Linked DNA regions of Alligator mississippiensis. The protein of the gene in region 1 interacts with the protein of each later gene in a pairwise test. Links are inferred from orthologs where the notes say so. Each region holds a gene or a part of one and is shown on either strand. Other genes may lie near its edges.

Region 1 (7,376 bases):
GGTGTCACTGCCCTAGGTCCGGTCTCCCCTTGGGAGACAAAGCCCAAGAGAGTTAGGTTCCCGAGGGTCTCTAGGGACGTTTGATCCTACGCCACTCTTGCCTGAGCCAGCCTGCTGCGGCCCAGTAATTAAACTGAGGCTTGTTCTCGAATCAAGAACAGAGTAACTTTGGAATCTTCAATGTAATGCTTCATGGCGGGAGATTATAAAGGCACCAAGAGCTGGGGCTGATGCTAAAACCCACCGTGTTTAACCATGAATGAAACAGCGAGCGAGCGAGAAGTCGAGGACCCCGTGGGCAATCCTGTGATGGAAGACAGTGGGTGCGAGGCGGGGGGGGATGAGCGTGCACAGCTCCAAGCAATGGGGCTTGATCCAGAAGGGAAAATGGCGGCATTTGATACACACACGCCTCCACCGCCCCCCCTTCCCAACACTTCACATCTTCCCCCAGGCTCCGTGATTTGCAGAGAGCAAATCAAAGCCAGCTCCGCTGGGGGAAGCTGCGCGTTCAAAACCAACAACAAAGGCTCCCGGCTATATCGGTCTGGGGTTTCAAGCACCCCAGGGCTCAGAGGCCGAGGCAACATGTCCCAGGCAACTGGTGTGCGGGTTCGCCTGTCCCGCCACCTGAAGCTTTTTCCCATAAGGCACCGGCTTCCCCGCCTTTGCTCTGATCACGGCTGACAAGGCCTGTCCCTAGAGACAAGCTCGGCAGCTGATGTGGCCCTGACCCCGGGCTGCCCGATTCCCCCTGTCCTCAAGTCACCCTTCCCGCCCACCAGGCCTGACCCCGGCTGCTCCCGGTGGGCAGATCTGCCAGGGCACCTTTTGCTGATGGAGCTTCAGCCCTGCAGGGGACCCCCGTATCCCGCCAGCCCCATCGAGCTGGGTGCTGAGAGATCCCTGTGCCCACAAAAATCATGAGGGCGAGGGCTGATCCCCAGGCGGAGAACCAGATGCCACCTGTGCGGCGCCCTCCGTTTGGCCAAGGCCCAGCAGCCACTGAGCATGGTGACCCCGAGTGATCTCAGCCCTGTCCAACCTGGCAGACACCCTCCCGGCCTCGGGCTCCCCACAGGGCCCCAACCTGCCTGCCAAGAGCCCGGCCTGCTGCCAAGTACCCACGGGCCGCATCCAGTCGCACATCCTCCCGCCCACCCGGCCTGCACCATCGCCAGCACCATCCTGCTTAAACGCACAGGCCTGTTTGGCACAACGGGCACCCTCTACTCCTGCCAACCCACCCCCTGTGGGGCCAGAGGGTGTCAAGTGCCCCCCACTGCTGCCAACTGACTGCATCCTGACCCCAGGCCCCACTCCGCAGACCACCAAGCACACTAAGGATGGCTCCCCCCATCAAAGTGACCCTCCTCCTGAAGTGACCAGACCCCCCCCCCCATCTTTGAGGCAGGGGAAGAAGAGGGGGCATGCAAACAGAGGGGCACTCAGCACTTCAGCAGTGTGGGGCCTACCGTGTGGGGGGAGGGGGCACCTGGCTAAAGTGATGGGGGGGAAAGGGGGATGGGGGTCTGCCCCCCACTGCTGCTGCCTAAGGAGACAATTCCCTGGGGGGGGCTTGTTTACCAACCCCTAGGGTGGAGACACAAGGGGGATCCCCCTCCACAATCTCCTGGGGGGAGCTAGACACTCTCAGGCCCCAACCCAGGGTGGAGAAGGAACCGAGGGTGAGGAACCCCCCCCCATGAAACCCTCAAGGGGGGGCTAGAAACTCTCCTAAGCCCCACCCCTCCCCCACCCACAACAGTCCAATATGGGGGGGTAGAAACTCCTTCCACCTTCAATGACCCAATGGGGGGGGCTAGAGATTCCCCCCACCCTCAAGGGCCCAATATGAGAAGGGTGCTAGAAACTCCCACCACCCAACATAGAGGAGGGGGGGCTAGAAACTCCAGCCACCTTCAATGGCCCTATATGGCGGCGGAGGCAGAAACTCCCACCACCCAATATAAAGGGGGGTTAGAAACTCCAGCCCCTCTCAATGGCCCAATATAGAGGGGGGAGCAGAACCTTGCATCACTGTCAATGTCCCAATATGGGGGGAGGGGGGCTAGAAACTCCCACCACCCAATACAGAGGGGGGCTTGGAAACTCTTGTCACCTTCAACTGCCCAATATGGGGGGGGGTGTTAAAACTCCCATCACCCATTATACAGGGGGGTTCAGAAATTCCTGCCACCCTCAACGGCCCAATATGCGGGGGGGGGGCTAAAAACTCCCAGCACCCAATATAGACCGGGGGGGGGGGGGCTACGAACTCCCACTACTCTCAACAGCCCAATATGAGGGGGGGCTAAAAACTCCCACCACCCACTATGGGGGGGTGTTTACAAACTCCCGCCACCTTCAACGGCCCAACTGGGGGGGGGGCAGAAACTCCCCGGCCGCGGACGCTGCTGGGGGGAGGGGCGGCCGGGCCGGGCCCCTCGCGGTGGCGGAGCCGTTGGGGCGGGGGGGGGGGGGCGCGTGGAACCCTCGGGCCGCCACGTTCCAAAGCCGTTGGTTGTTTACAAACAGGGGCCGGGGGGGCGCCCCGCTCGGGGGGGAGGCGGGGGGCTGTTTACCTGCGGGCGCCTCAGTGGCCGCGGCGGCGGGCGGAGTGGATGCTGCTGGGGCTGGCGCCAGGGGCATGGGCCCCGCCTGGGCGGCGGGCAGGAATATGTCGCCGGGGCTGTTGTCCCCTGCTCCTTCTTCCTCCTCCTCTTCCTCCTCTTCGTCTTCATCCCCCTCCGCCTCAGACACCACCATCTCCTCCTCCTCTTCCTCGTCCTCCCTCAGAGGGGAAGCCATGGTGGTGCGGGGGGGGGCGGGGAGGGGGAGAGGGAAGGGGGAGCCCCCCCTCACCACGCACGAACCCTCTCCCCCCTCACAACACCGAAAACACAGCACGGGGGAAAAGTCCCATGAAGAAAAGGGTTAAAAAAAGGGGGGGGCGAGGAGAGGAAAAAAAAAAGGAGAAAAAAACTCCACTCAACTCCCCCCCCCCCCCCCCCCGTGGAAAAAAAATAAATAAGGGGGTGGGGGTAAAAATATATATATATATATCTCTATCAAAGCTGAGGGGGCCGCTCAGAATAATATTTTCCACAAGAGCAAGGAGCAAAAATGGCCGCCCTTCAATTATTTTTAAAACAGGCCCCCCCAGGAGGTAAAAAAGGAAAAAAAAAATCCCCCCCCCTTTCCACCCCTTTTCTTTATTTTTTTTTTTAAAGAAAACAAGATGGCTGGCTTCTTTAAAAAAAAAAAAGTTCCCCCCCCCTCCCGACACACACACCTCTTCCTTGAGGTTAAAAAAACAAAAAACAAAAAAAAAAACCCAAGAAAGATTTTTAAAAAGAGTAGGAAAAAAAAGCCTCAACAAAAAAAATCAGGCACCAATAACCACCCCCCCCAAAAAAAATCTGCGCTCCCCCCCTTTTTCCCCCTTCCCTCTCAATATATATATAAATATAGATAGCTCTTTCTTTCTTTCTCTCTCTCTGTTTTGTTTTGGTTTCTTTTAATCTCTCGCAAAGATCTCAGATCATTGCATAGATGAACAATATTTGTATATTCCTGGCACTGGGGGAACTGAAAGAGAAAGATTTCTGCATAAAACAAAGATGGCTGCTCTAAATTATTTCTTTTTTTTTCTTATACTCCCCCCCCCCAACCTCCCTCAATAAAAATATTTTTTACCCGGGTGGGGGGGAGAGAAAAGGCTGGATTAATCAGTACTCATGCTCAGTATGACATCAGCATAAATTGTTAAAGGTTAACTAGTTCCATACTAGTAACACCATGATTTTTTTTTTTTTTTTTTTGCTTCCTCTTTACTAGTCTACGCGAGAGTGGGGGGAAAGGGGCTTTTTTTCCCCCTTCCCTTTCTTACTTCTAAATACTTCAGAAGGGAGTGGCTTTTTCTTTCTTTCTTTAGCCTGTCTGGCAATGAAAAAAACCCCAAAAAACAACCTTGCAATTCATTTAAGTGTAGGGTCCAAATTCGTTTAAGGGCATTGTTAGGAAGTATTTAACTGTTTTCCTTGATGTTATTTTTTTTTGGTGGGGGGAGGGGGGGAGCTCATGTCAGGTATTTTTATTTTCCAGCACTTTTATTTTCCTTCTGCTAAAAAAAAGCACCATCCTTTCTGTTTCTTTCTAAATACCTTCCCCATCTTACCTCCCCCCCCCGCCCAGCTACACACGCGCGCACACTAAAAATTGGGGACTACAAATATTTCAGTGTCTTCCTTATTTTATTTTTCTCTTGAACTATTTTACTGAAGTGTTTCACTGGTATCAAGTGCTGCAAAGTGCTTTTTGCATCCCCCCTCCCCAAGAAAACAAATAGAAAGTGGGGTGCATCCAAAAAACAAACAAACCAGGACACGATATTCTGGAGGGCTCTGATCCTGTGACGGCCTCTGGACAGTTGTGAGGACCTGCTGACCTTGCTAGACCAAGCAAGCAAAAGGCATGTCAAAAACCACAAGCAGGTCCCTAGGGCCTGATCCACTGGGTCTGCTCACATGAGCAAGGGGACACATGCACGTGTTAAATAAGGAGTCTGGGCGAGGGGAACTGCCAGTAGATTGGGGGAATTCCAGACTTCTACGTTTTCGGCATGGTTGGGCTTCCGCTGCATACCAAATCCTCGCCCTCCCTAGGTAAGCACGTGAAGAACGCCATCCCCCGTAGCTGTTACTTTCCAACCTCCCTCCTCCAGGCCTCCAACACGAGAGCAGCCAGGACCCCCTTCCTTAAAGAAATGAAGGACACCATCTCTCATTTTAATCTCTTGTTCTTTTTGGTAGCTGTATCCTGCTTTGCAGGACGAGCCTCCAGAATGTCATCCACCGCCCACCACTTCCGTGTGAGCAGACTCGACAGCAAGGTCAGGGCCTGAGTGAGGATTCCTACCAGTTGCTTAATGGGTTTTGTTTAGGCACAGTCTTTCCAGGCCCCTGGATTGAGAGATGGTAGTTTTATCGTTTCTAGAACTGGCGGGTCGGTGGGTGAAAAAGTGCAGATCAGGGTATGCAACTGTGCCTGCTTGACTAGTGGTCCATCCCCGGATGGTGTGAAGCATGCAGGAGATGTGATGTCCCTCGAACCTTCCATTGTGCAAATCCGCCGCTCCCCCAACATGTCAGTGGTGATCTGTGGTCCCAAATTTCTCCCCTTTCTGTTTCCCCAGATCAGCTGGGATGATTATTAGCTTTGTGCCCCTGCCCCATTAACATTTCTGTGTGTGGCCTGCTGGTCTGAGATACAAAAATCCTTTGCTGTTGAAGGCCAGGAAGGATGGATCGAGTCTTTTGCTGCCTGCGGAAATGCATCAAATCTTTTCCGGATACCAGGCTTTCAATTTCCAGACCTGTAAGACAGCCCCAGCACGTTCCACAAAGAGAAAAGAGGGCCATGGACTATCTTTCCCGCTAAACAAATTGTGGGAACCCCTAACCAGGTCCAAACCCAGGTCATCTTGCAAAGAGAGAACATCCAACCTTTTGGAGAAGCCTCACTGGAACCAACAGACTTTTGCCTCACCTTACAGCTGGAGCCATCATTAACAGGAAGGATTTAGCAAAGAGTGGTGTGTTTATATGTTTAATTATGGCATTAAATCTCATGGGGCTGAGATTTTCTGTGGGAGCACCTGGACTCTTCCCCCTCACATGCCTCTGATCTGCACACACATCCCTGGAAACGCGGCGTCTGCTGCTTCCTTCTCGGCAATCTTCCCCCTGTAGGATAGTCATAAATACCCGCGTAGGATATGCCCATCGCCTGCAGGGACTCGCAGCTTGCCAACCAAATGGTTCCCTCTGTGCCTTTTATATTTAATTCAACACCCCTCCGGCCCCCCAGGAGCCTGGGCGTCGAGCCTATTCATTCATGTCAAAACAGTTCCCCGGTGCTGCTGGAAGCCAACAATTGGGGAGGAATTTGGAGGCCAGAGGGAACCTGAGTTGGTTTTCATTTTTCTCTCCTTCTTTCAAAGGCAATTTCCAAGGTTTTTTTGGAGTTTTTTTTCTTCCCTCTCTCTGTGGCTGCTTGGATCTTCAGCTGGTTTTGTCATCTGCTGAGCTGCCTGGGGGGGGAACAGGGAGATCCAACAGGACAAAGCGCTAACCTGCCTCTTCAGCTGCTCATTGAGTTGCGGTCGGGGGGGAGCAGGTCATGCCATTGCACATGATAGGCCCCGATACATGTTGAGAGCAAGGCGCGCATTTCCTGCCAACAAGTGAGACTCAGCTTAAACTTGACCCTGGCTGTTTGTGGCTTGGTCTAGATCCCTCAGGGAGCAGCAAGGGTTTTTCTTCTCTCTTCCTTTTTTCCTCAATCTGTCTCTCACTGTCTTTGATGCTTCTTTGTAGCTCATCAAGTGTCAGGGATTGCACTGCAGACCCATACAGAATGACACTAATAGGGGAGCTGTCGTGTTTATCTGAAGGGCTTCACCCACCGCCGTTCGGCTGACAAGAGGGTCAAAGATTGGCTCCGAGTGCCGCCTGCCCTCCCCCCACCAGGGGAACTGCCTGTTTGCTTCCAAGGCAATTGCTGGCAGTTCTTCCCTGCTGATTTCCTACTGCACGCCTTACTCTCCTCTCTAATAAGGGAAGGCTGCGTGGCAGCTTTCAGGAACAGGGCAGGCATGCCAAGGCCAAGGCTTCCAGGACCTTGGAAGCAAACAGGAGTTCCAGCATCAACTTCCCCCAGGCCAGGATATCACCCTGCTTAATCTTGCCTATAGCTGTGCGGCTGAGGCGCTGGGTGGAGTCCCAGAAACAGCCTCTGATACAGATTCCCTCTCAGTCTTGCCACTCAATCTCTCCGCGGGGTGCTAACATCCTTGCTTGGGTCTCCCCTTCCAGTTTAAATCTAAAATCTCTTCTGGGCAGGAACTGACGCTTCTCTACATGCAGCCAAACAGGGCAAAGATTTCTGACAGGGCCAAGGCACACCCTTTTTTTTTTTAGCAGCTGGGGTCCCATCGAAGTGTTTCTGATATAGCATGGTATTGCCTGGGCTGCACAAATACAGCTCCTTTTGGGCTTGGAGCTGGGCCAGCTGGTTACACGGCCCATGAACTGGACCCGTATATTTCAGAGGGTTTTTATAAGGCCAACAAAAATAGCACGTTCCCCTCTTCCACCGATTCAAGCTCCACTCTGACTGGGATTTCCCAGCCTGGGGCTGAGACATGCGGTTGCCATACATTTCATCCGCATCCCGCTTCTCCTGCTAACAGCTTACCAGTTGGCATCCTCCAAGAATGCTCCTTGCTGTAACGAGTTGACCTGGGTGAAGCTGTATCGATTTGCGGCCACTGAAGATTGAACCTGAGAGCTGTTGGAGGCACAGAAAGGATG
Region 2 (7,156 bases), on another chromosome or scaffold:
CCCCAAAAACAGCAGGTGCAGAAGAAGCCTAGGTTCTGTTAATTTTTCTGTATAAGTAAATTGCTCTAATGCCCAATCAAACTACATAATAAATTCTAGATCAAATCAGCAGGACAGCCTTAATATCTGAGGAGAAAAAAATATCTTTCAAGCACCTACACTGAACACCTTCAAGAGAAAATTGGATGCTTATCTTGCTGGGATCCTATGACCCCAGCTGACTTCCTGCCCTTCGGTCGAGGTGCTGGACTCGATGATCTTCTGAGGTTTCTTCCAGCCCTAGTCTATGAAATCTGGCTTTGAAAATAGTAACTTTTCTCTGAGAATAGCTACCATAATTATTTTGCAGGATTCTGTTTACACTTCAAGTACTGGGAATTTAACTATACTCTGTGTCCTCTTATTAAAAGAACACTGTGATATTTTATATCTTTCCCCAACTGAGCAAACCCCTATCAAGCAAGCAACATATGTGGGTGGGGTTATAGCCACTGCATTTGTAATGATCTCCATCATGTCAAACACCCAAATGAACAATGGCTTCCCTGCTCTAGAAACACTATCCAACATTAGTTTAAATAAATAAATAAATAAAGCTTCTTGTTAAATAATCTGCATGAAATGGATTTACTTTGTAAAGTAGTACTAACTCAGACTTGAAATGAACCCAGATCTCGTGTCCCAGGCCAGTACCTTACAAAAAAATCCTTATTTGTTGCCTTATCAACTACATTCATATCTAGGTTATATATTATAAAAGTATGCAGAGCTCACCAACTGAAAAGCTGCCATTCTTTTGACTAACACGTGGGCAATTTAGAAAATTTCATGACTGGTGAGTCGACACATTTGTATTCATGAATCAAACTTATAAAATAATGTTTATCCATCCATTTTGTCCTTGCACTAGGGGGAACAATAATGAAAAAAACCAAACCAAAAAAAAAAAAAAGCAGGGGGGGATCACATAAAATTAAAACTGAATTCTCAACTACTACATCTCAACAAATCTGAAACCATCTTTATGTATTCTAGCAAACAGACCTGCCCTTTTCTGATGTCTTCAATTGCAGCAAAAAGGCTCAAGTTACTAGTCATTTTGGAGGCACAAGAAAGTTGAAATAAAGAAAACAGAGCTTTTTCAACATGGGAGTTGTCCAAATAAACATCTCAAAGTTTACAATGTCAACCAGGGGTCAACACAAGTACAATCGGTGTGGCAGCAGTCTGTCTTCCCTCCTCATAAATTTTCCCCCACCACTTAATAACTATCAATCATGTTTTGTACCATTTATTCCACTTTTAAGAACACCAAAGCTCTGAACTGGTCTTAAGCCCCCAGCTCTGAAGTAGAGAATACCCACATGATAATAAATTATGCTCCCTTTCTGTTTCTCAGTTTTGCCTAACACAAAATGTTTTCCTTAATATTTTCCTGGATAAAATGTTTTGAAGTGACAGGTTTTATTAGAACTGTTCACCTTTTTTCAAGCAACAGAAAAGGTCCGGAGGATCATTTTCCAACATGATGTATTGAAGGGAAGTGGAATATGAATGTCATGCTTTATATCAATTCTACTTTTCTACTCTAAAGATTTTTGAAGAGGCTTCTTCATCTCAGCTACATTGCAATCACCTTGCTTCCTTCTCCAAATATCATGGCACTTTCAAGACACTAAAGCAGCATTTACAGTAAATGTTCCAAAATGTGTCCACAACCCTGAAAATACCTAAACATATGCAAAAGGGCAGTCCCATTGTCTGCTACGAAACAAGGCCCATGCACAAGATTTAGCATGTGCTCACACAGTGCTGCACCATTAGTTTGGATATGAAAAGTAACTCATTTAATTTTGCTCCATTTTATTCCCTTCGCTTGTTCCTATAAGAAGTTACGCTCCCCCACCCGCCCATTAAACGGTTGCGTGCAACGTCAGCGAACGATGCTTATACACGTGCGACGTCAGGGAACGATGCATCTGAAGAACGCAAAGTTATTAACATTCATCCCATTCAAAGGAACCTCAAGCCAGGCCACAAGCCAGTTTCTACAACCCTCAACCAATTGGGGGGGGGGGGGGGGGGGGGGGGGAACCTGTTAAAAAAAAAAAACAAAAAACAAAAAAAAACGAACAACCCACCAACCAAATCCCCCACAAAAACCCCACCCCTCCCCCAACAAGGCAGCTTCAATCCCGGGCTGTTAATCCCCACAACCCCTTGAGCGGACTCCAGGCCTCGTTTCTTGGCAGCTCTTTCCCAGCGAGGATTTCCCCATCCCCAGGCTGTTCGCATGAGCGGGCTCGGGCTCCACCACAGCAACAGCGGTAGCAGCGGACAAGGCATGAAGAGACCGACTCCATTTTGCGGCACCTGCAAGGAGGCGGCGGCAGGGCCCGCACGTGGCCCGGGAGCCACCGGCTGCACTCGGGCAGCTCCCAGGCACCCGACCCCGGCCCAGCAGCCGGGGCTCCCGCCAGGCCAGTCCTCCCCCCCGCGGGAAGCCGCCGCCCCATCGCCGCGCTGCAGGCCCGAGGCCGCACGTGGGTGGGCCCCGGCGCCTCCTCGCTCACCTTCCTTGCGCAGCGGCGCGGCGGGCTGGGCGCTGCCCTCGTCCCGGCGCTCGGCGGCGCCCCCGGGCGCGGAGGCGAAGGGCGGCAGCGGGTTCTTGCGCTCCTTCTGCGACTCCCTGCGCAGCTGCTTGGCCGCGCTGCCCGGGCCGCCGCCGGCCCCCGCCTGCCCCGCGCCGCCGCCGCCGGCCCCGCCCGACGAGTTGGCCGGCGCCCCCGGGCCGCTGCGGGCCCCGCCGCCGCCGCCGCCCCCCTGGCTGCTGCCGCCGCCGCTCTCTTTCCGGCGGGTCTCGGCCGCCTGCAGCACCTCGAAGGGGTCGGACTCGTCGTCAAAGAGCTGGTCGAAGCGGTTGGTGACGACGCAGCCGAACCCTTCCTGCAGGTGTCCGGGCATGATGGGCCCTTGTCGGCGGGATGCTCCTCCGATGCTGCCCAGGCCCCGGACCCCTGCCCGCGACCGCACAAGATGGCCGACCCTGAAGAGACCCGCTTCTTTTCCGGCGCCGGGAACATCCGGGGCCCGGCGCCCGCCCGCGCGGGGCACGACGGGAGCGGCAGGCGGCCCGCGCCGCTGGCAGCCCGTGCGCGGGGCGGGGCTGGACTACGCTTCCCGGCGGCCACCGCGCCGTCGTTGTGCAGGGGGCTGGCCAGGCCGCGCCTGCGCACTGGCTCCGGGCCCCTTTGCTCGCCCGCCCCGGGAGTTGAGCCACGTGCGGCCGCCCTTGGGGACGCCTAAGAGTGGCGGTGTCGCGCAGGCTCCAGCCTGCAGCTGTGGGGTGGGGAAGCATTAAAGGACTAAAATACGGAAAGGAGGGAGCGGAATGTGCAATGAAACCGGATAAGCGTCTTTGCAATCTGCGACATGTTTCTCTGCAAGGGACGGAGGCAGCCCCTATCCAGACCCTAACCCCAGGCCAGCAAGACATAGCGCCCCAACCCGCCACCGCTCAAGCAGGGGAACCGCAGCTCACGCTGGCAACAAGTGAGAGTCGACCAAGTGAGAGGGGAGTGGCCGCTTGCTTTGTACCTCTCGTCACTTAAAAAAGTCCATATCCTCATCTACTTTTAGATAGGCATGCAGAGAGATGCAGCTGATTTCAGGAGTCTTCCTGAAAAATAAAAATACTTTTGAAAAATAAAAGTTCCCCTAGTGTCCTTAAGGACACACAGTACTACTTAAAAAAAAGCCACAAAACCATTTGGCATTTGTAGGATTTAGTTAAGGGATTAGTCAGACTGGCCACTGCATATTTACAAATTTTAGGGAAATATATTATCATCTGCATAGGAAGCCATTCTAACTTGCATAAACTTAGGTAGCATTTAAGAATATGGAGTAAAAGCAAGCAGCACAGATCTGTGATTAGACCAACATGCATTTTTATATGTTGATATGTTCAGATCAGTTTTACTATACATTGACCCTTGTATTTCTGCCTGAAACCACTTAAGGTACTTTCTAGTCAGTGTAGAAACTCAAATTTAGTTTTTTTGTTCTTTGTTTGGTTTTTTTTTTCCCCCAAATAAGGTTTCTCTTTGTTGTAAGGCTGAAAGTACTGTGAAACAAGGGATCAGGTGTCTTGTGGTTATCAAATTTTTTAGCCCAAACCTTTTAAAATAAAAAGTCTCCTTTTCTCTCGCATGCAAATACATATGAATCCAATAGTGGCACAGTAGCCATTTTCAGGGTGTTTTCATATTTAGGGGATAGGGTTTGGGGTGGGGGATGACAATCTTGAGCTACAGATTACTGTTAACTGCTGCTTGATTTAGAGACTCAAAAGGGTTCTTACACAATTATGATAAAAATCGAGTGAGAATCCTAGAAGTAATGCAGGTAAAACAGGAAGGGCCAACTCCACGTGAAGTATTGGCTTGAACATTTGAAATCTTATTTAATAATTAGGGAGTAAACATGGTCAGATGAAAGTGCTGAAGAAGGATGTTCCCAGAGATGGAAAGGTGCATCTATGCTGTGCTAGATACAAGGTCATTAAAAAACTACATCTATATGCTGTCTCTGACAGCATAAAACACACCATTTATGGGATAACCTGCCCTGTACAAGTCTCCCTCTGGTCTCTAATTTAAATTAGAGACTAGTTTAAGCAGTAATGCACAAGGTTTAGTGGTCCTTCCAAAAGTTTTACAGCAATTCTGACAGGCTGGGTGTTCATTAACAACTAGAGATAGCCAATCCATTTTTAGTACTAAATTCTTGGCTCTATTAATGTCTTGGGGCAATACCTTTCATAGATTAACCAAGTTGTGTGAGAAACTATTTGTTGGTTCCAAATTTCCCACCCTTAGATTTAACTCAATGTCCTACTGTTCTTGAGACAGGGAAAGGACCTTCGTACTAGAGATGTACAAATCTCTTTCAAAAGCAGTAGCAGATGAAAAGATAAGGGCACCATGTCCATCACCCTTCAAAGCAATTATGTAACTCCACATCAGGATTTCAGGAAGTGATCCAAGTTAAATGACCAAAATGAGTTACCATCTGCTTGGGTCCTCCGTCTGTCAAATATATGGGTGATCTCATTCTGTGACCTGGGGAATGGCTATCGATATCAGCCACAAGCACTCACTATAACTGGTTGAATTGAAATCCTAAGAACAACTGATGATAAAGACATGGAGGCTGAGTTCTTGGTTATGGGAAGGGATTTGTTTAGATCAGGGTGGTCAAAATGATGGATCTGACCAGTACCAGACTCCATGTCCCAGCAGCCCCTGCCTGCATTGCTGTGGCCAGTTTCCAAGGAGATGCCAGCAGCAGTGGGACCTCAGGGCCAGGGTTTCCATGGAGACTGGCTGCAGCAACACTGGCAGGGCACACAGCTGGCAAGGAGCTACTATGAGGCCAGGGCTGGGATCTTGCAGCAGTGACAGCATGGTCCGGAGCCAGGGCAGAGCCATGATCCACAGCCTGCACATCCCTGCCCCAGGTATGGGGGCAGCAGATCGCAGTTCCGCCCTGGCTCCAGACCATGCCATCACCAGCGCAAGATCCCAATCCCAGAGCAGCTCCCCACCCAGCTGCATGCCCTGCCAGTGCTGCTGGGGCTGGTCTCCATGGAAAGAAACCCTGGCCTCACTGCTGCTGGGGTCTCCATGGAAACTGGCCGCAGCAACACAGGCAGGGGCTGTAGGGAAATGAAGGCCACTACAGGCCTGATATGGCCTGCAGGCCAGGCTTTACCTGCCCCTGATTTAGATAGAGAGATTCTCCAGTCAATTACCTTTGGTCGTAGTTTTTCGTAGCGCACAGCCAATAAGAAAAGTTTCTGGGCACTTCTTATATAAATCTTCAGGATACAGCACTGTTGTAGAGCCACTTAAACTGCTGCCTTGGCTCACAAGTGTGGTTCTCTTCAACCCCGCTTTGCAATACTGAAGTTCATAGCTCCAGAACTGCTCTCTGGTGTACTCACACCATCTATAAATAAAGATATTAAAAAGATTATAAAATTGCCTTGTTCCCACTAGGATTGTCACACACGTTTTCCAAACATAGATGTGAACAAGTCAATTTAAAATTATACCCCAAGTGTTGTGGAGTAGGCCTTAGACAAGACTCGTTAAAATAAAATATCTTCTTAGAAGTAAATTCAGAGAATATTGTGATCATTCACTAATTCTGTTTAAGAGGAGAGAAAGGCTTCTGGAGGTTGTACACTTTAAATTTTGGGGCCTTTTTTTTGTCCCCCTGCCCTCCCCCCAACTGGGTTACATTCATATTTTAGGTACATTCTACAGATCTACTGACCCAACACTGACATTGCCCAACATAGATGAATGAAGTGTGGTTTAAACTCAAAACATTAATTCAATTCTATAGAAAAAGGACAAAAAACATGAATCCATAAATTCTATAATTCACCATTTTCAGCACCTGCAAATTTCCCACTAATTCTGACCATAAAAAATATTGCAATATCTAAATTAGAATGTTGACACATGCCTAAAATGTCACCTTGTTTGACTGCGGTTGCTTAAAAAAAATAAAAAAATAAAAAAAATTTAAAAAGCAAAGGGAAAGTCCTTGCACAACATGTTGTGGGGATAGGCATCTTACCTTTCAATAACAGAACAGAACAGTTTTGGTAATATAGGAGCACTAGTTGGTTTCTAACCTAAATTCAGGAAACTTCACTCACCAAGCGTCCTGTTTAACTTAGTAACTTTTACTTAATTTTAGACCACGTCAAGTACAGCGTAGCAGAAGTGACTTGGATGTTTACAGGCCAGCGATCATCACTCCCCAACTCCTCCTCAGTATTGCAACTTAAGGTTGCTTAACATTTCCCTGGGGCAATGTGGCCACTGGAAGTTCAAGTCCACATCGTTACCCTATCCATTTCTTCTTGCTGTCTGCTCTGGCAGTCCAGAGCTGGAATATTCAAAGATAAATTTAAATAAGGTGCTTTGGCTAGTTGCCCAGCAGACAAGTCAATAGTCCGCTGGAGAAAAATTATCAGGAGGCAAAATTATGAGTAGAAGAGGATTGGACATTGCCAGGTTTCTTGATAGTCGTTTCCTGCAAGAGGATGTAGGAGAATATTCAGCCAAAAACCATCCAC
Region 3 (7,421 bases), on another chromosome or scaffold:
GACAGCTGAGTTTGGTGATGTTAGGCTGGTAGCTGGTTGTTAAACACAAACATGTATCCAAATGGTCAGTCATCAGATGGTTTCTCATAGGACCGAGTATGGTTTTCATTTGTGAAAACACGTGTTCACACCGATAAGTAGATCCAAAGACAGACAGCAAGGCAAAAGCTACTTATTTATTCATGCATACTTTTCAGGAAGGGAAGACCAACATAATGTAGTCTTGAGTTACCATTCCCTTTCATTCTCAAATTTACCTTGCAGTGATGTGAACTTCAGTGCCCAGATGCATGAGCTTTGAAAGTCAAGGAGTACCAATTTAAATCCTTCAGTGTTCATCCACTGAAAGTACCGCAGTTCAATATCACTTTCCCTAGTACTGTCCAGGTTCACAAGAAATGAAAATATGAGTCCTCTGTTGCAAAAGTCTTGGAAACATCTGGTGTACACATCTTCCAGCTGTCCTATGTAGTTGCACATATTCCTATTATTCAATTGATGCTGCTCGGAATGGATTTTCAGACTGGGGTAGTAACAGAAGGCAGACGTTTCGATATCTCATCTGAAAACAGACATCTTATCACAGAAAGCTTTCCAGTCGTCAGACAGCTGAAGGATGGTTTTCTGTGTTCCTTGTAACCTAGTATTCAAATAATCTAAATGTGATGTGATGTCTGTCAAAAACATCAGTTTTGTTAGCCACCTGTCATCAGTAAGGTCTGCATATTGCTGACCACTTTTTTCAAGAAATAACTAGGTGGATTCGAGACAAGCAACAAATCGCTTGAGCATGTTACCTCGACTCAACCAGTGTACATTACTGTGCAGCACTAAATCTCCATATGCAGAATCCACATCATTTAAAAGTTCACGGAATCCCCTGTGTGTCAAAGAGGAGCGGGCAATCAAAAAGCTGACATTTTCACACCACTGTCATGATTTCATTTAAATCAGAAGATGAAATCTTAGCGCACAGGCTCTCCTGATGAATAATACAATGGAAACTTATAAGAGGATGTCCAATCTAAGTTTCCAGAAGCTTTACAAATCCAACTGCTTTACCCACCATAGCAGGTGCACCATCAGTGGTAACAGAGAACACTTTGTGCAGGTCAGTTTGTTGCAGTGTGAAAATAACTTTGACAACATTAAGTATAACATTGGTCTTTGTTGTGCTTTGCATAGCATGCAAAGAAAACAATTCCTCCCAACTTCCCCAGAGACAAAATATCAAACAATTATAGCAAGATGCCGGATATCGTTTATAGACATAAACTTTCACCCAGTGCAAGGCTCATCGCATCACAAGCATGGAGGTCTCGAGTCACTTGTTCCCTAACATTAGTTGCCATTTCATCTATTTTAGCCTTTGAACAGTCCTGGATGACAGCGGCATTTCACCAGTATGAGCAATGATGTCTTATTGGCAAAATCCTCAGCACGTTTTAAGAAAGAATCCTTTAAGTTGTCTCCATCTGTAAAACACTTGCCTTTCCAAACTTTGTTTTTTTACTATCCATAGTTATATATTGATATGCCTTCTACCTGTAAAATTTCCTGAAGTTCACACAAACCGAAGGCAGCACAAACAATTTAAACAGGCAAACAGAAAGGAGAAAATCAGAAAGAACTGAATTATTTGAAGTACATGTAAATCTGGGTAAGTATTTCCAAGAAGGCAATCGAAGTGCAGAAAACACACACACACAAATGAGCAATATGTAGTGTTTAAATCAAGGAACGCAAAGCAGAGAGATCAAGATAAACAGAATACAAACAGTTTTAATAAAGTAAAAACCTGAAAAATATGAACTGGTTTAAGAGAATGAAAAACTGAATAAGAAATTATTTTCAGAGCAAAATAAACTGATTCATGTGAAGTGGCTTGAGAGAGAGCAAAAGCTGTATATAAGTCCATTTAACAGAGCAAAATAAGCTGATTCATGTGCAGAGAGAGCAAAAGCTGAATATGAATCAAAATAACAGAGCAAAATAAACTGATTCATGTGAACTGACTTGAGAGAGCAGAAACTGAATATGAATCCATTTAACAGAGCAAAATAAAGCTGATTCGTGTGCAGAGAGAGCAAAAGCTGAATATGAATCCGTTGAATAGAACAAAACAAACTAAACAGTACAAACTGGCTTGAGCGAGAGCAAAAACTAAGTCTGCAATAATTTAACAAAGCAAAATAAAATGGCATAATATGCAATCTTAAACTCTGTTTGCAGAATTGTTTTTTGTAAAAATATATGTCTATATGTATATGAGGTTATACATATCTATACTCCGAGTATCACTCCACAAAGAAAACCTTAACCCGTTACAAAAACCACACACATACAAAGGACCGTTGGCCACCTGGACCTATTACAATATCTGCCTTGCACGCTACACACACACATATACACAAACTGGTCTCTCAGACCAGGCAACCCCTTCCTTTCATCCCCACAGAAATCAGCACTAGTAGCAACAGGCTACTGAGTGAACTGCCGCCCAGAGCCACGTGCCTACCTCATATAACTGGAGGCTGGGTGCAGCTGGGGGCAGGGTCCCTGCACCCCCTAGCAAGTAACTTCATGCCACTCTCTTCTTTTTTTCTAAATAAACATCTCTCTCACAAGGCTGTTGTATATTGCCAATTAGTTTGAATAGTAAACTGAACATGTAAAGCGTTAAGTGTTGTTAAATGCTGATTCGTAAGGATGTTGTTTCATGAAGGTGATAAAACACTGGTGAGAGACAATGGCCACCTTTTACCCCTTTTTTTTAAAGCATAACATACTGTTGACATCAATGACAGATCATACTCCTAGCAACCAATATATAATAATTTAGCTATTTTGCCTGTCTCTAATCAACCTACTGTAGCATAAACAAGCAGATGTGAAGTATGCTACCACTGTTTCCTGATCTCACTGTCTCTGATTCTGGTAAGATGCTATCAACACCACCAGCTTTGTGACTCGTTCTTATGACAATCCAAAACTTTTCCTGGAATCTCTCTTTTCTACTTGGCAAGAATTGCATACATCTAGCCAAATTAGAAAGCTAATTTCTGAAAAACCGAATGCTTCTTTAGGCTTGCGCTTTTACAGTGCTTGTAAAATACTTGATTTGGGAGTTGTAATTCTTCCCACAAGTAACTTCCTTTCTTGTCACCTTCCTTACAGGAAGGCTACAGAGATGGAGTTGAGGCTGGAAAAGAATGTGCACTCCAGCAGGGCTTCAATCAGGGATACAGAGAAGGGGCCAAGATGATGAGGACCTGTGGCCAGTTCAAAGGAATTCTAAAGTAAGTTTTGAGACCATGATCTCTTTTTGAAATTCTAGCTGTACTATTATTCCAGTGCTAAGTGGTTTGGCACTTGGGTCAGTGAAAGACCCAAGTGCCAAACTCTCTCAGGTTGTGCTTAAAAGTTGGGCAGCACAACCTGAGAGAAATCTAGACTTCTGTGCTAGGCACCTAGGTGCTCCCTATACAATGCATGTAGAGACGTTGGCATCTCAGTATGTGATCCAAAACGGCCAGCATGCTCCAGCTGTCTAGAGGTAGCAAAGAAGAGACACTGAAGACAGGGAGAAAATCTAAAATCCCACCTTTTGGGGTTAGGTCAGAACTGCACGGAGGCTGCTATTCACTCGGGATCCATAGCGGGTAGACTTTCCTAAAAAAACCTGCCTACAGCCACTGCCTCTCTTACAAGCGGGGTGCTCACTGCTCGGGGCGGACGAGTGTCTGTCCCGCCTCCTCCCAGCTGTCCTGAGGGCACGTCACATCCGCCCCCTTCTGCCCCGCCTCTGAGTCTCCCGGCCCGGGGCGGGTGCGGAGAGCACAGACGGGGACAAGGGACCCGCCGGGTCGTGGTAGACGGCGCGTCCAGGCGGAGGGCGGCGCAGGAGCCGCGCGATGCTGCCCCAGCCCCTCCCCCCGAGGCGCGCATGCAGCTGCCTCAGGCCCGGGGCTCTGAAGACAGCGCCCCCGTTCGCAGCCTGCCCAGCAAGCTGCAGGCAGGGACGCCTTCTCCCGAGCCAGGCCGGGGTTCAACAGCCACTCCAGCACTTGTCCCGCCCTCTCTCCCAGGCCCCGCCCTGCGCGGCGCTACATGCGGGAGGGTGCCTGCTTCCCCCTGGGGGCGGGGCTGGACTGGGAGATGCCGCCCTCCCCGTGCGGCTGGGCCCAGCCCACTCCCGGCCCCGCCCGCGGAAGAGGCGGGGCCGCGAGCGCCTGAGCCGTCCCCACGTGAGTGCTAAGGCGCGCGCGCACCTCGGAGCAGGGGGCGGGGCCGGAGGCATAGGCCCCGCCCCCTTTGCGTGCTGTTTCCGACGGCCCGGGAAGAGGGGCGGGGTTTGAGCGCGGCCCCCTCCTTCCTGAAGGACCCAGCGAGCCGCCGGGCCCCGCTTGATACCACCGCCAGGAAACTGCTTGGGGTAAAACTCCTCGTTAGGAGCCGAGCACCCAGTCCCGCCGCTATTCAGTTAAATATAACTGTCCAGCACCGTGAAGTCAATCGGTCTACTTATTGCACACAAAGTTAAGGACACCAGTCTTGGCAGGATTAGAGCTTGAGGTTGTGTTTTGGTCCCCAAAACGGGCACAAATAGTATTGAGGACTCGGGTGTTGTTTCAGAGGAGCTGGAGACGGGGTAAGTGCTGGCAAAAGCCAACAAATTGAGATGCACAACGTAGTTTTCTTTGACACAATCTGCCTTGCTTCCTTTGACAGACATTGCCTGGCATCTTGATGCAATGTGAAAGTAAACCTGAAATTGGGATTACTGGTTTCTGAGGTTAGCTTTCCTCAAAAACCTGCCCTTCCTGCCTGGGGTTCTGACTTAGTGCTGGGGTGGAAGCTCTGTTTGGCATCTGACTGTACCTGTGGTGTTCCTAGGAGCTCCTGCTACCATGTCCTGGGTACAAGCTGCAGTCAGCAGGCCCAGAGAGGATGTATTCGATGAAGATGCTGATGAGATGCACCTCGTACAAAAAGAGTGGAAGAGCACCATGGAGAAAAGGATCAAGGTAATCTTTATCACCGTCATGATGTTTTCAGTAGCCTTTTAGCCGTTTTCTTTCCTACTGCTTAAATAATGCTTGTTTAAATAAGCAAAAGTGAGAATGGCTGCTTACAAATTAGGCCTGTGCGAAGCAGCAGGTATTCGATTCGGATTCAGCCAATTCAGAGGGACGGTGATTCGAGTTGCTGTCCTGATTCAATTCGGCCGAATTGGATCCAAAGATTGGGCGACAATTCAGAGATTCAACCGTAGACTAAACAGGCAGCAGTCCTCGACCATGCTGGCCACAGCTGCTTCCAGCTGATAAGTCCGTTGTGGTGGGCAGAGGTGGGAAAGAAGGGGCAGGGTGGGGGGCATGTAGATCAGTGCCCCCACAGCAAGGTGGGGATTGGGGTTGGGGCTGGGACTGGAGCTGGGGCTGGGACAAGCTGCCCAGTCGGGGCAGGGGAAGTGCAGGATGTGGGAGTGGCAGCACTTGGAGCAGGAGCTATGCCCTGCTGCTGTTTGCCCAGCCGGGGGGTGGGGGGCATGATGGAGGTGCGGCTCACTCTGGGCAGAAGGCACTGGGAGCAGGGGCTCTGCCTTGCCGCCGCTAGTCCAGCCAGGGGGGCGTGCAATGCAGGTGCAGCTTGCTCCAGGCAGAAGGCACTGGGAGTGGGGGCTATGCCCTCCTGCTGCTCGCCCAGCCGGGGCGGGGAGGCACAGGACCATGCCACTGCACTGCCTCGGACAAGTAGTGTGCAGTGGCAGAAGCTGTTGCAGCCTCCGTGTGCCACCTGGACAAGCCGCAGCTTCACCCCGCCATGCCTCGGCTGGGCAAGCAGCAACAGTGCATTGGGGTGGGCGAGTGGACCCGGATTGAGGAGGGGCCAGCGGCAGGGGCTGTGGGGAATTTTAGGGTTGCTGCAGCCCCCCCCATAGCCCCTACTTCTCTGCGCTCTGTGGGGTGGGCGGAGCCAGGGCTGCACTCTGGACTGAGGCTGGGGCTAGGTGCCAGGAGCACCGCCCAGGCCCTACCTACCCCACAGAGTGCAGCCTGGCAGCAGACAGCTGGAGCTAGCCTCCTGGAGCGCAGCCCGGCCCAGCCTACCCCACGCAGATCCAGGGGCACACGCCCGCTCCCATGCCCTCCCAGACCAATGGTGTCCAGTGGCAGGAGACTCCCGCCCCCTTACCCTGGCTGGACAGCTTGTCCCAGCCCCAATCTCTCCCTCGCTGTGGGGGCGTTGATATGCCCCCCACCCCATGCTCCTTTCCTCCCCCCTCTGCCCATCACAACAGACTTACCAGCTGGAAGCAGCTGTGTCCAGTGTGGTAGAGGACTGCTGCCTGTTTACTCTCCGAATTGGCGCTGGATTGAATCAGAGGCTTCCGATTCAATTTGGACCTTTTAATGGTGTCCTGATTCAATTTGGAGATTTGGCCGCCAAATCAGGCCAGATCTCCTCCGAATCAAATTGGCTACCGCAGTTTCGCACAGCCTTAGTAAAGATCATGATGGTTCAGTTTCTTCTGAGTGACTTGAAAACTGAACAGAATTAATGAAATGATGCCAAGTGGAACATATTTGAGATTCTTTTATTAAGAGACTGTCTGAGTATTCCTGAAAATCCAAAAATTTATAACCACAATCCTGAATGCTTAACTCTACCCCAGATTAAATATTCATACACATTCACTATTCAGTTACAGTTTATAATGATGGACTCTTGCTGCATAATTGTACGTAAATCTATTCCTTCAAATACTCATGGGCTTTCTGCTTACAAATTCCAGTGCATCAACAGACACACACACATGCTTAGTGGCAAAAATATGCAAAATCAGTCATGTGATCATTCACCTTTTTGATAGGGAACACCGTCATAGCAGAATTGTTGCTAAATATCTGCTGCATTCTGTCTTTAAAAAGGTGGGAACCGAGAGGTGTGGTGGGCTTGAAAAGTCTTCTAACCTCGATTTGTAGCTTTGCCACTGACCTTCTTTGTGGCCTTGGGCAAGTAACTTAATCTCACTCTCTCATCTACTTTTATAAAATAATAGACATCTCTCTCACAGGGGTTGTGTATAATGACAATTTATATAGTAAACTGAAAATGTAAAAGGTTAAGTGTTGTAAAATGCTGATTCATAAAGAAGTTGTTTCATGAAGGTGTTAGACACTGGTAATTGAGAGACAAGGCCCACCCTTTACTATTTTTTTTTAAGCATAACATGCTGTTGACATCAATGACAGGTCATACCCGTAGCAACCAATATATAATAATTTAGCTATTTTGCCTGTCTCTAATCAATCTACTGTAGCATAAACAAGCAGATGTGAAGTATGCTACCACTGTTTCCTGATCTCACTGTCTCTGATTCTGGCAAGAGGCTATCCACACTACCAGCTTTGTGA
Region 4 (7,448 bases), on another chromosome or scaffold:
AGGTCAGTGCCAGGACTGGGGACAGTCTATTGCGCTAACACTGCAGTGCTTGATGTCTGTGGGGACAAAGCAGGACCTGCTGGCTTGGATGGGTTGAGCGCCGTGACATCTCAGCAGCCTCTCCCCAGAAAGCCCTGCTCTGCCTGCTGGGGAAGGGGCCAGGAGGGTCTGCTGCTTCACAGAGGCAGGGAGATGGGAGAGGATCTTCCAGGAGAGAGAAGCGAGGGAGGAACTTGAGGGAGGAATGCTTGGAGCAGCCAGAGCGGTAACAGGTACATGCACCCCAAGGTGACAGGAAGGGGCAGTGGCCTAAAGGCAGAAGACAAGGGATTGCCGAGGCTGCTATGGAGCCTGGCGACTGCAAGACGAACCAGCTGCCGATGCCTGGAGTAGTCAAACTTCATTACAACTCCCCCACCCTGGAAACGTTTCGGGGGGGGTTTCCTCCTTCAAGCCCTTCCCAGCTGATGGCGTGCAGGAATCTCCCAGTGACTCATAGGGGATGGAGGGGGAAGTGTTAGGGGCTAGCCATTGCATTATCTGCCTGTGGGAGGGGAGGAGAGGGGGTGTTGGAGGAGCAGTTCCCGTACTTGGAACAGGCACCATGGGATTTTAAATGAGCACAAGCACTCGGGACCTCTCTCTCACTTGTCAGTGGAAAAAAACACCCACTCCAGCAGCCGAGCACTGGTTCATGGGTTCATCATGGTGCCCCCGACCGACCGCCCTCAGATACTCACTTCACTCTTCTTAAACCTGGCCCGCAGGCTCTTCATGGTGGCTTTGTCCCCGTGCTCTGGGCTGCAGGGGGTAGATCTAAACGGGGGATACAAAGCAGCTGTAAGATCCTAGCAAAACTCTGGCCCTTCATCGGCAGTCTCACAATCAGTCTCAATATCTTCCTGTGCCTCCTGCCCTGAGGGTCCTGATTCGGGGTGCTCACCATGTTCGAGAGGGGAGAGGACTGGAATGGCATTACATGTGGCATCAGACCACGGCCCTCCACCAGCCGGCTGCAGGGCATGGACGATGGGCACTGTAGGGGCTCAAGGCTCTGTAGGTACAGACAGGACACTCAGCCCCAGGCAAAAATTTTGGCTGACTCTTCATTTTGGCCCTGACCCTGCAGGATAACTCATGTTAAAGGTCCCTCCAAGCTGCCGGTCTCTGACCAGCACCTCCTCAGCACCTGGGAGCTCACCTTGGTGCCCAGGCGTGTCCCAGCCATGGAGGGAGGAGACCTCCTCTCTGTGCCTGTGCTAACACAGCCCCCACCACAACAGGGGTGCTAGAGGCTGGTGATGCCACAACTGGAATATAGATGGAGGGGCCAGGTGGAGTCTGTGGCATTTGCCCTGGCTATTGGGTGTGCTCATGTGCCCGGGAGAGAGCGCAGAGTCCCGAGACAGGGCGCTTCCTGCCTGTGCCTCTGTGGGAAGGGGAGAGGCTGGCAGTCTGGTTGGCCTTACTTCTGCAGCCTCCACCTCTGCAGACCCCATCCAACGCCCAAGACCTCCCTGCCCACGAATTCCTGACCCTCGTGTCCACAACGCCCCGAGGAAGAGGCGGAGGCTGGATGGGTGTGTGGGGGGCTGCTCCCTTGTCACCTCGTGCCTCTGGGCAAAATTCCTCCCTGGACCCCTTTGAGGAGTATTGGCCCCCCCCCGGTCTAGCCCTGTAGCCTTGTGTTTGCTGCCAGCAGGCCTCCATGCCCCCACCCTCCAGCCTCAAGGTAGCTCGACAGCCCCCCCAAAGGTACCAGTCTTTTGGGCAGCTGTTTATTTCAAATGCATGCACCCCTTCTCCACCCGCAGGCTCTTCCTGCCCCGCTGCTTGAGAACGCCGGAGGGCTGGGTCTCCCGAGGAGGCATATGCCTCCACATGACTTCAGTGTGGGCTCCCCAGGGCCTGAGGCACAGGCAAATTAAGGGTCCCCCATGGCAAAGAGACAGAAACCAGGAGTGCTCATCCTCCATCCTCTCGTCTAACCCCCCCCCAGCCCTGCCCTGCTGCACAGCCCTCTATGCCGTGCTGTACCATGCTAGCACCGGACAGGAACCCAGCCCGTTGGCATTGCTGTCAGCTGTCAGGGCCATTACTTTTGCCTAGGGACCTGCCTCCTTGCCAATCTAGGTGTTTGCATTGGCTCTGGAGCAGTCTCCCAGGATGTCAGAGCCCCTGGGAGTCCCTGCACTTGTACAGAGCAATGAATGACTTCATATATTAGCCCTGACTTGTTCAGCTGCAGCAAGAGTCCCTCAGTCCTGATCGCAGATGTGTGAAACCTGCAGCTCCAGGGCTACCGGACTTTGGGCCAGTCTCGCATCTTCCCTCCAAGCCCCATCCCTACCTTGTTGATACCGTCAGGTGCAGCTCGGGCAGGTTCTCACTCCTCTGTTACACGTTCAGTGCCAAGGGCAGAACAAACTCTGAAGAGTCTCCTTACTTCTGTCTTGATTGATGGGAGCTCACCGTATCAGAGGTGGCCCAGCCCGGGTGAGGCTGTGTCACTGCGAATGAGGAGAAACCAGGGGAGGGACATCGCTGCACTGGGAATTGGGTTACTTACCTGCTACAGGTACGATTACCTTGCTACAGCGGGCTGCAGCTCAGCGCTGCACGGTGTCCAGGGCACTACATTACTCTGGAGCTGTGTCTCCATCTCTGAGCATCTCCATAGTCCTGAGTAGCCCAGATGTCACAGGTGCAGAGCACTTCTCATCATCAGGCCCTCCATACCCCTCAGGCTCCCCACTAGCTCTGGGAAGCCAGGGTAATTATTCTCCATGCATACCATACCGTTAAAGAACCTGGAAAGCAGCAGCAACAAGCAAGGGAATGGAGGGTCCTGTTCATGGATGGCCTCTAGGCCCTGATCCTGCAACAGGCTCCACACCTCGCAGGGACATCCCCCATGGAGCAGCCTGGGGACTTGGTTTGTAGAGCTAAAGGTTTCCCTTGATCTTCAGCGTGCAAACATGACAAGATGTTGCCCCGTGATTCCTTTTCTTTTCTCTAAGGCTTTGCTAGAGCTGAGGGACCCTCCCACAATCCCTGGGAGGTAGGTATTGTTTTTTTCCACATTACAGATAGGAACAGAGAGTCACAGACATGGGAAGCGACTGCCTCAAGGTCACTTGGTTGGTCAGGAACTGAGGTGGGAAAACCAGGCACATTGAGCACCAGGTCCAGGGATCGCACAATCCTCTTTTCTGTGCCGAGATGACTGGAACCTTTAACCCACCCGGAGCTCAGCAGATCAGGACCTGTGCTTGCTAATTAATGGATTTTTTTTCTCTAGCATCTATAGCAGGCTGGGCACAGAGTATTTGAGCAAGTAGACATGCTCCCAGCCAAACAGTGGACTGTAAAATATCTTGCAAAGACTATGAAGGGAGAGAAAGAACAATGCACAAGCCTAGACTTCGCAGTGGCAGGAGGCCTGCTGAGGAGTGCTGGAAATGGCTTGCAAAATCCAGTACTGAAAGGTACCATTGGGTCGGCTTTGTCCTTGCCCCCTGCTTAGGCATCGCAGGGCTTCCACTTTAGGACAGGTGAGGCTGCACATAGGGTGTTCCCCAAGCAGGAAAGCACCAGGCACCGCAGCCCATCCGTGGCCCCACCAAGTCCCAGGACCTCCCAGTCAGCCTCCGGCCAAGCTGGCCATCTGCCAGACCAGGACAGAGGCTCAGGCTCAGGGAGCCTGGTGATGTGGGGCTGTCCTCTCACTTCTCCAGGCAGTGTCACTGGCGGGTGCCCGCAGGCTCCCCCGACTCATTCAGGGGGCAGCGGGCGCTAGTGGGCGCGCTCTGCTCCGTGTCCCCTTGGATCCCTTGTTTTGCACCCGTGACCGCGCTCCCTTCCCTGTTTTCTTTTCAGTCGTCCCAAGCGGTCAGCTGTTGCGCTCTCCCTTTCTAACGGGGCTCCCAACTTTCACAATCAACAGGCCTGGAGAAGCTACAGGGCACCTGCTGCGCCCCTTAGGCAGCCTGGCTCTGCTCCCTGACAACTGTGGGATACGTGGTATTTCTTTAAGCGCCAGCTCCTGGAGTCCAGGGATGGGGGGGATCCCCTGTCAGAGCAGCAGGTCCTGCAGTGCTGCTGCAAGGAGGACCCGCTGTCCTCCCCCAGAGCCAGGCACATCTCTCCCCCTGCCAGGTCCAGGCGCCTGCCCCAGCTCTGCCAAGGACGGGCAGAGACCTTTCTGCCAGGAACCAACATGGCGGCACCGCCACCACCGCCCGGGGCTCGTGCGCATGCGGAGTGAGGCACGGCGGCTTCGCGACGCCCGGCGCGCTTCCGCCCGGCCGGCAGGAATTGACAACAATGAGAACTTTATTGACAGCGGCGCGGAGGCGGGCGGCGGCTGCGGGGCCATGTCGGTGAATTACGCGGCCGGGCTGTCCCCCTACTCGGACAAGGGCAAGTGCGGCCTCCCCGAGGTGAGTGGCCGGCGGTGCAGCACCCCTCGCCCCTCCCCCACCTTCAGCCCCTGGGGGGGGCTGCTGCCCCATCCCCTCCCCTCCCCCACCGCCCTTCCCCCCCATCCTAGGGCCTGGCCCCGCCCCCACCCCACCTTCTGGGCTCTGGCCCCGCCCCCTTGGGTCTAGTCCCGCTCCCCATCACCCCCTCCTGGGGTTTGGCCCCCTCCATCCCCTGCCCAGGGGACAAGGCACCTGTGCTCCCCGCGCCCCCACTCTGGCAGGCGCCGGGGGGGCAGTGGGGTGCCAGGGTGCAAGCCCCGCTAGCCCAGCCTGCCGCGGGGGTGCCCCCGGCCCGGGCGCTGCAGAGCGCTCCTTGCCCCAGGAATTGGGGAGGCCTGGGCTCTGCTTCCTGCCTGGGCAGGGGCCGGCGCTCACCTGTAGCTGGGGTGTGTGTGTCCCCCACACGCAACATGGCAGGCGTGGGTTGGGGACCAGCGGCCACGTGCCATCAGGTTGTCAGCCCGGCGGGCAGGGGGTCTGCACCGCGACGTCTGTCCCCTTCGGTGGAGCAGGGCCTGTCACCCCAGGGAACGGCTGGTGTCCGTCCAGCCCCATGGAGACTAACGTTGCCTTGGACGTGTTGCTCGGCAGCGTCGCCCGCGGGCAGCGAGCATTGGGCTTTGGTCTGGAGGCTTGGCCTGTGTCTCGCGCCATCCTTCCTGCAGGCCGGCGGCATTTATTAGCTGCCTGAGAGGGGCAGGGCTGGGCCTCAGGGGCCCCGAGATCTTTTTCGGGTTCTGCTGTGGCCAAGTCATGTCACTTAGTAAAGTCTCAGTTTTCCCACCTGTAAAACGGAGGCAAGGAGGGAGGGTATCTATTGTTACCTGCTTTGAAGAGAGCAGCAGTGAGAGGGCAAAGTATTTCTCAGCCAGTTAATTACTTGCTGAAATCCAGAGCAGCTCCTTGCCTCTCTGAAGCAGATTGGAAAGGAAGATCTGGATGTCCTGAGCGGGGAGAAGTGTCCTCTCTAAGATAATGCTCTTTCTACCCTGTTAAGTGCTGATGCACTTTAGCTATCAGCAGCAATGTAATCTTGTTCTCCGTCTCTTCCTGCGCTTGGGGCCATGTGGGAAACTTATTTCTGTCTCCATTTCTTTCCATCAGATCTTTGATCCTCCGGAGGAGCTGGAGAGGAAAGTGCATGAGCTGGCCGACCTGATAAGGAGTTCTTCCAACGTGGTGTTTCACACTGGGGCTGGGATCAGCACAGCCGTAGGGATCCCCGACTTCAGGTGAAGGAAGAAAGATCCTGTGTTGTTGAAGCAGAGTGGGATTATGGGTAACGTGGCATGCTGAGCATTAGCTTTCTCCTGGTTGCTATGCGGCTATAAAAATTGATTTATATTTCTGTACTTCGGTTTCACCATCTATAAAATCTCTGTAGTGCACAGGCAAGAATTCATGTGGGTGATATCTTGTACTGGAGGAACTGCGTGGTTGGCGTAGGCTTTGGGGTTGCAGTATTGTTGCTCAGGTCTCTGGGAGAGAAGCAGGCACAGGTATTTTGCAAAAGTTTAGAAAATGCCTTAAGATTTGCGGAGGAAGGGGGCTATGAGGAGGTGGGGGTGTGATGGAAGGTGCCTGGAGTGATCACACTGATGGTGTTTGCTAATGAAAAGTGATTTAATCCTGGCAGCATTGCCAGCCCTGGCTTAGTGACTCAGTGGGTTAAGTGCTGTAGGGAAGATGTCCTGTTTCCTCATTAATTATAGCTGTTGTTTTTCTGATTTTTTTTTTTTTTTTCCAAAACGCTTCTCTGTGGCTGTGGGATGTTGGGATGTGAAAAGGTTGCTTTCCTTCTATGAACTCCTAGCTGTAGTTTGGTCTCGGGTTTGCTACTTCATGGCCCAAATGGGCTGTGATCGTGCGTTGAAGTCCATGGGACATTTCTCTGGTGCCGGTTCTGCAGTAGTAAAACCGTATCCCAGCGTTCACCACTCAGTACAGTTGTTTGGTGTGTGCTGGGTAGCGGGGGAGCCCAGAGAGACTGTGAAGCTAGGTAGTTACGTTTGAGGCTGTCTCCTAATACTGAGCAGCTTCTGTATCTCTGGGCTGGTCTGTTCTTTTAAACAGCAGGTGACACCATGCCTTTGGAGACCGGCCTGGGAAGCTTGTGAACAGGGGTTGGGTCTGTGGTGCCCACTGGGGCGATTTCTTGGGGGATTAAGCCTGGTATTTTGCCATAGTTGAGTTTCCCATTGTGGCTGCTCCCTGCTGGTTCCCTTCGCTGCTGAGGGCTGTGGCTACAGCCAGACCCATGCATCTCATCCCTCCAGAGAGGGGATTGTGTGTATAAACTGATGCCGTGCAGTTTCCTCTAGATACACCCGCTCCCTGGTGATGCGGCAGTACCCAGAACCTCCCTGCCCGGTGGTTCCCCTGGCCCGCAGGGCTCTGCTCTGACAGCAATAATCCATGCTCAACTATGAAGGACACTGAAGTTGCCCAAGGGTGTATCACAGCCCAGGCAAGAGCAGGTGTTCCCTTGGTGTGAAAGCACGCAGGGGAGGGGATGTTTTAAGGGGATGTAATTAAAAGCAATGGGATGAAAATGAAGAAAAAACAGTGTGGGCAGGACATAGGGAAGGTCTTGGTCACAGAGGCTCAGTGTATGGGCTGGCGTCTCAGGGAAAGAAGTGGACGCACCATTTCTGTGTCCTGCAAAGCATGGGAAAAACTTCCTTGTGATGTTATCTAGCCTGCAGCGGGATCAGCTGGGTCCCACCAGTCTTATCCCGCATCAAAGCTGCCACGTGGTGCGCTGCTCCCTAGGCAGGGGCCTGTGCTGCTGTCCAGGCTGAACCCAGAGATTGCTTAAGCCAGGTCCTAGGAGGTAAACGTTACAGTGGCTTCTTCTAGCTTGCTCCACTGCTCCTGGCAGCCTGTTTCCCAAACCGCAAGCTATGGCTTTGCAGTGCTGTGGGGGGCTAATTAACTCAGGGGCAAGCTAATCAGCACAGTCAC

Evidence for each region.
Region 2: the proteins of CHD3 (region 1) and SERBP1 interact in binary tests that used the Homo sapiens proteins (3 or more experiments, as listed by UniProt). The link is inferred for Alligator mississippiensis from reciprocal best matches to the Homo sapiens genes CHD3 and SERBP1.
Region 3: the proteins of CHD3 (region 1) and YAE1 interact in a two-hybrid assay, tested with the Homo sapiens proteins (2 studies listed by BioGRID and IntAct). The link is inferred for Alligator mississippiensis from reciprocal best matches to the Homo sapiens genes CHD3 and YAE1.
Region 4: the proteins of CHD3 (region 1) and SIRT6 interact in a two-hybrid assay, tested with the Homo sapiens proteins (2 studies listed by BioGRID and IntAct). The link is inferred for Alligator mississippiensis from reciprocal best matches to the Homo sapiens genes CHD3 and SIRT6.

Annotation. Positions count from the first base shown.
Region 1 is NC_081838.1:24,914,269-24,921,644, reverse strand, and holds the start of CHD3 (chromodomain-helicase-DNA-binding protein 3), read right to left. Parts: upstream 3,138-7,376; 5' UTR 2,812-3,137; coding exon 2,586-2,811; intron 1-2,585.
Region 2 is NC_081828.1:18,225,871-18,233,026, forward strand, and holds the start of SERBP1 (SERPINE1 mRNA-binding protein 1), read right to left. Parts: upstream 3,067-7,156; 5' UTR 2,965-3,066; coding exon 2,574-2,964; intron 1-2,573. UniProt on the Homo sapiens protein: Ribosome-binding protein that promotes ribosome hibernation, a process during which ribosomes are stabilized in an inactive state and preserved from proteasomal degradation.
Region 3 is NC_081828.1:124,882,318-124,889,738, reverse strand, and holds the start of YAE1 (protein YAE1 homolog), read left to right. Parts: upstream 1-4,294; 5' UTR 4,295-4,435; exon of another isoform or gene 4,436-4,651; intron 4,652-4,731; exon of another isoform or gene 4,732-4,795; intron 4,796-4,896; 5' UTR 4,897-4,910; coding exon 4,911-5,027; intron 5,028-7,421. UniProt on the Homo sapiens protein: The complex LTO1:YAE1 functions as a target specific adapter that probably recruits apo-ABCE1 to the cytosolic iron-sulfur protein assembly (CIA) complex machinery. May be required for biogenesis of the large ribosomal subunit and initiation of translation.
Region 4 is NC_081839.1:5,435,967-5,443,414, forward strand, and holds the start of SIRT6 (NAD-dependent protein deacylase sirtuin-6), read left to right. Parts: upstream 1-4,324; 5' UTR 4,325-4,376; coding exon 4,377-4,442; intron 4,443-5,588; coding exon 5,589-5,716; intron 5,717-7,448. UniProt on the Homo sapiens protein: NAD-dependent protein deacetylase, deacylase and mono-ADP-ribosyltransferase that plays an essential role in DNA damage repair, telomere maintenance, metabolic homeostasis, inflammation, tumorigenesis and aging.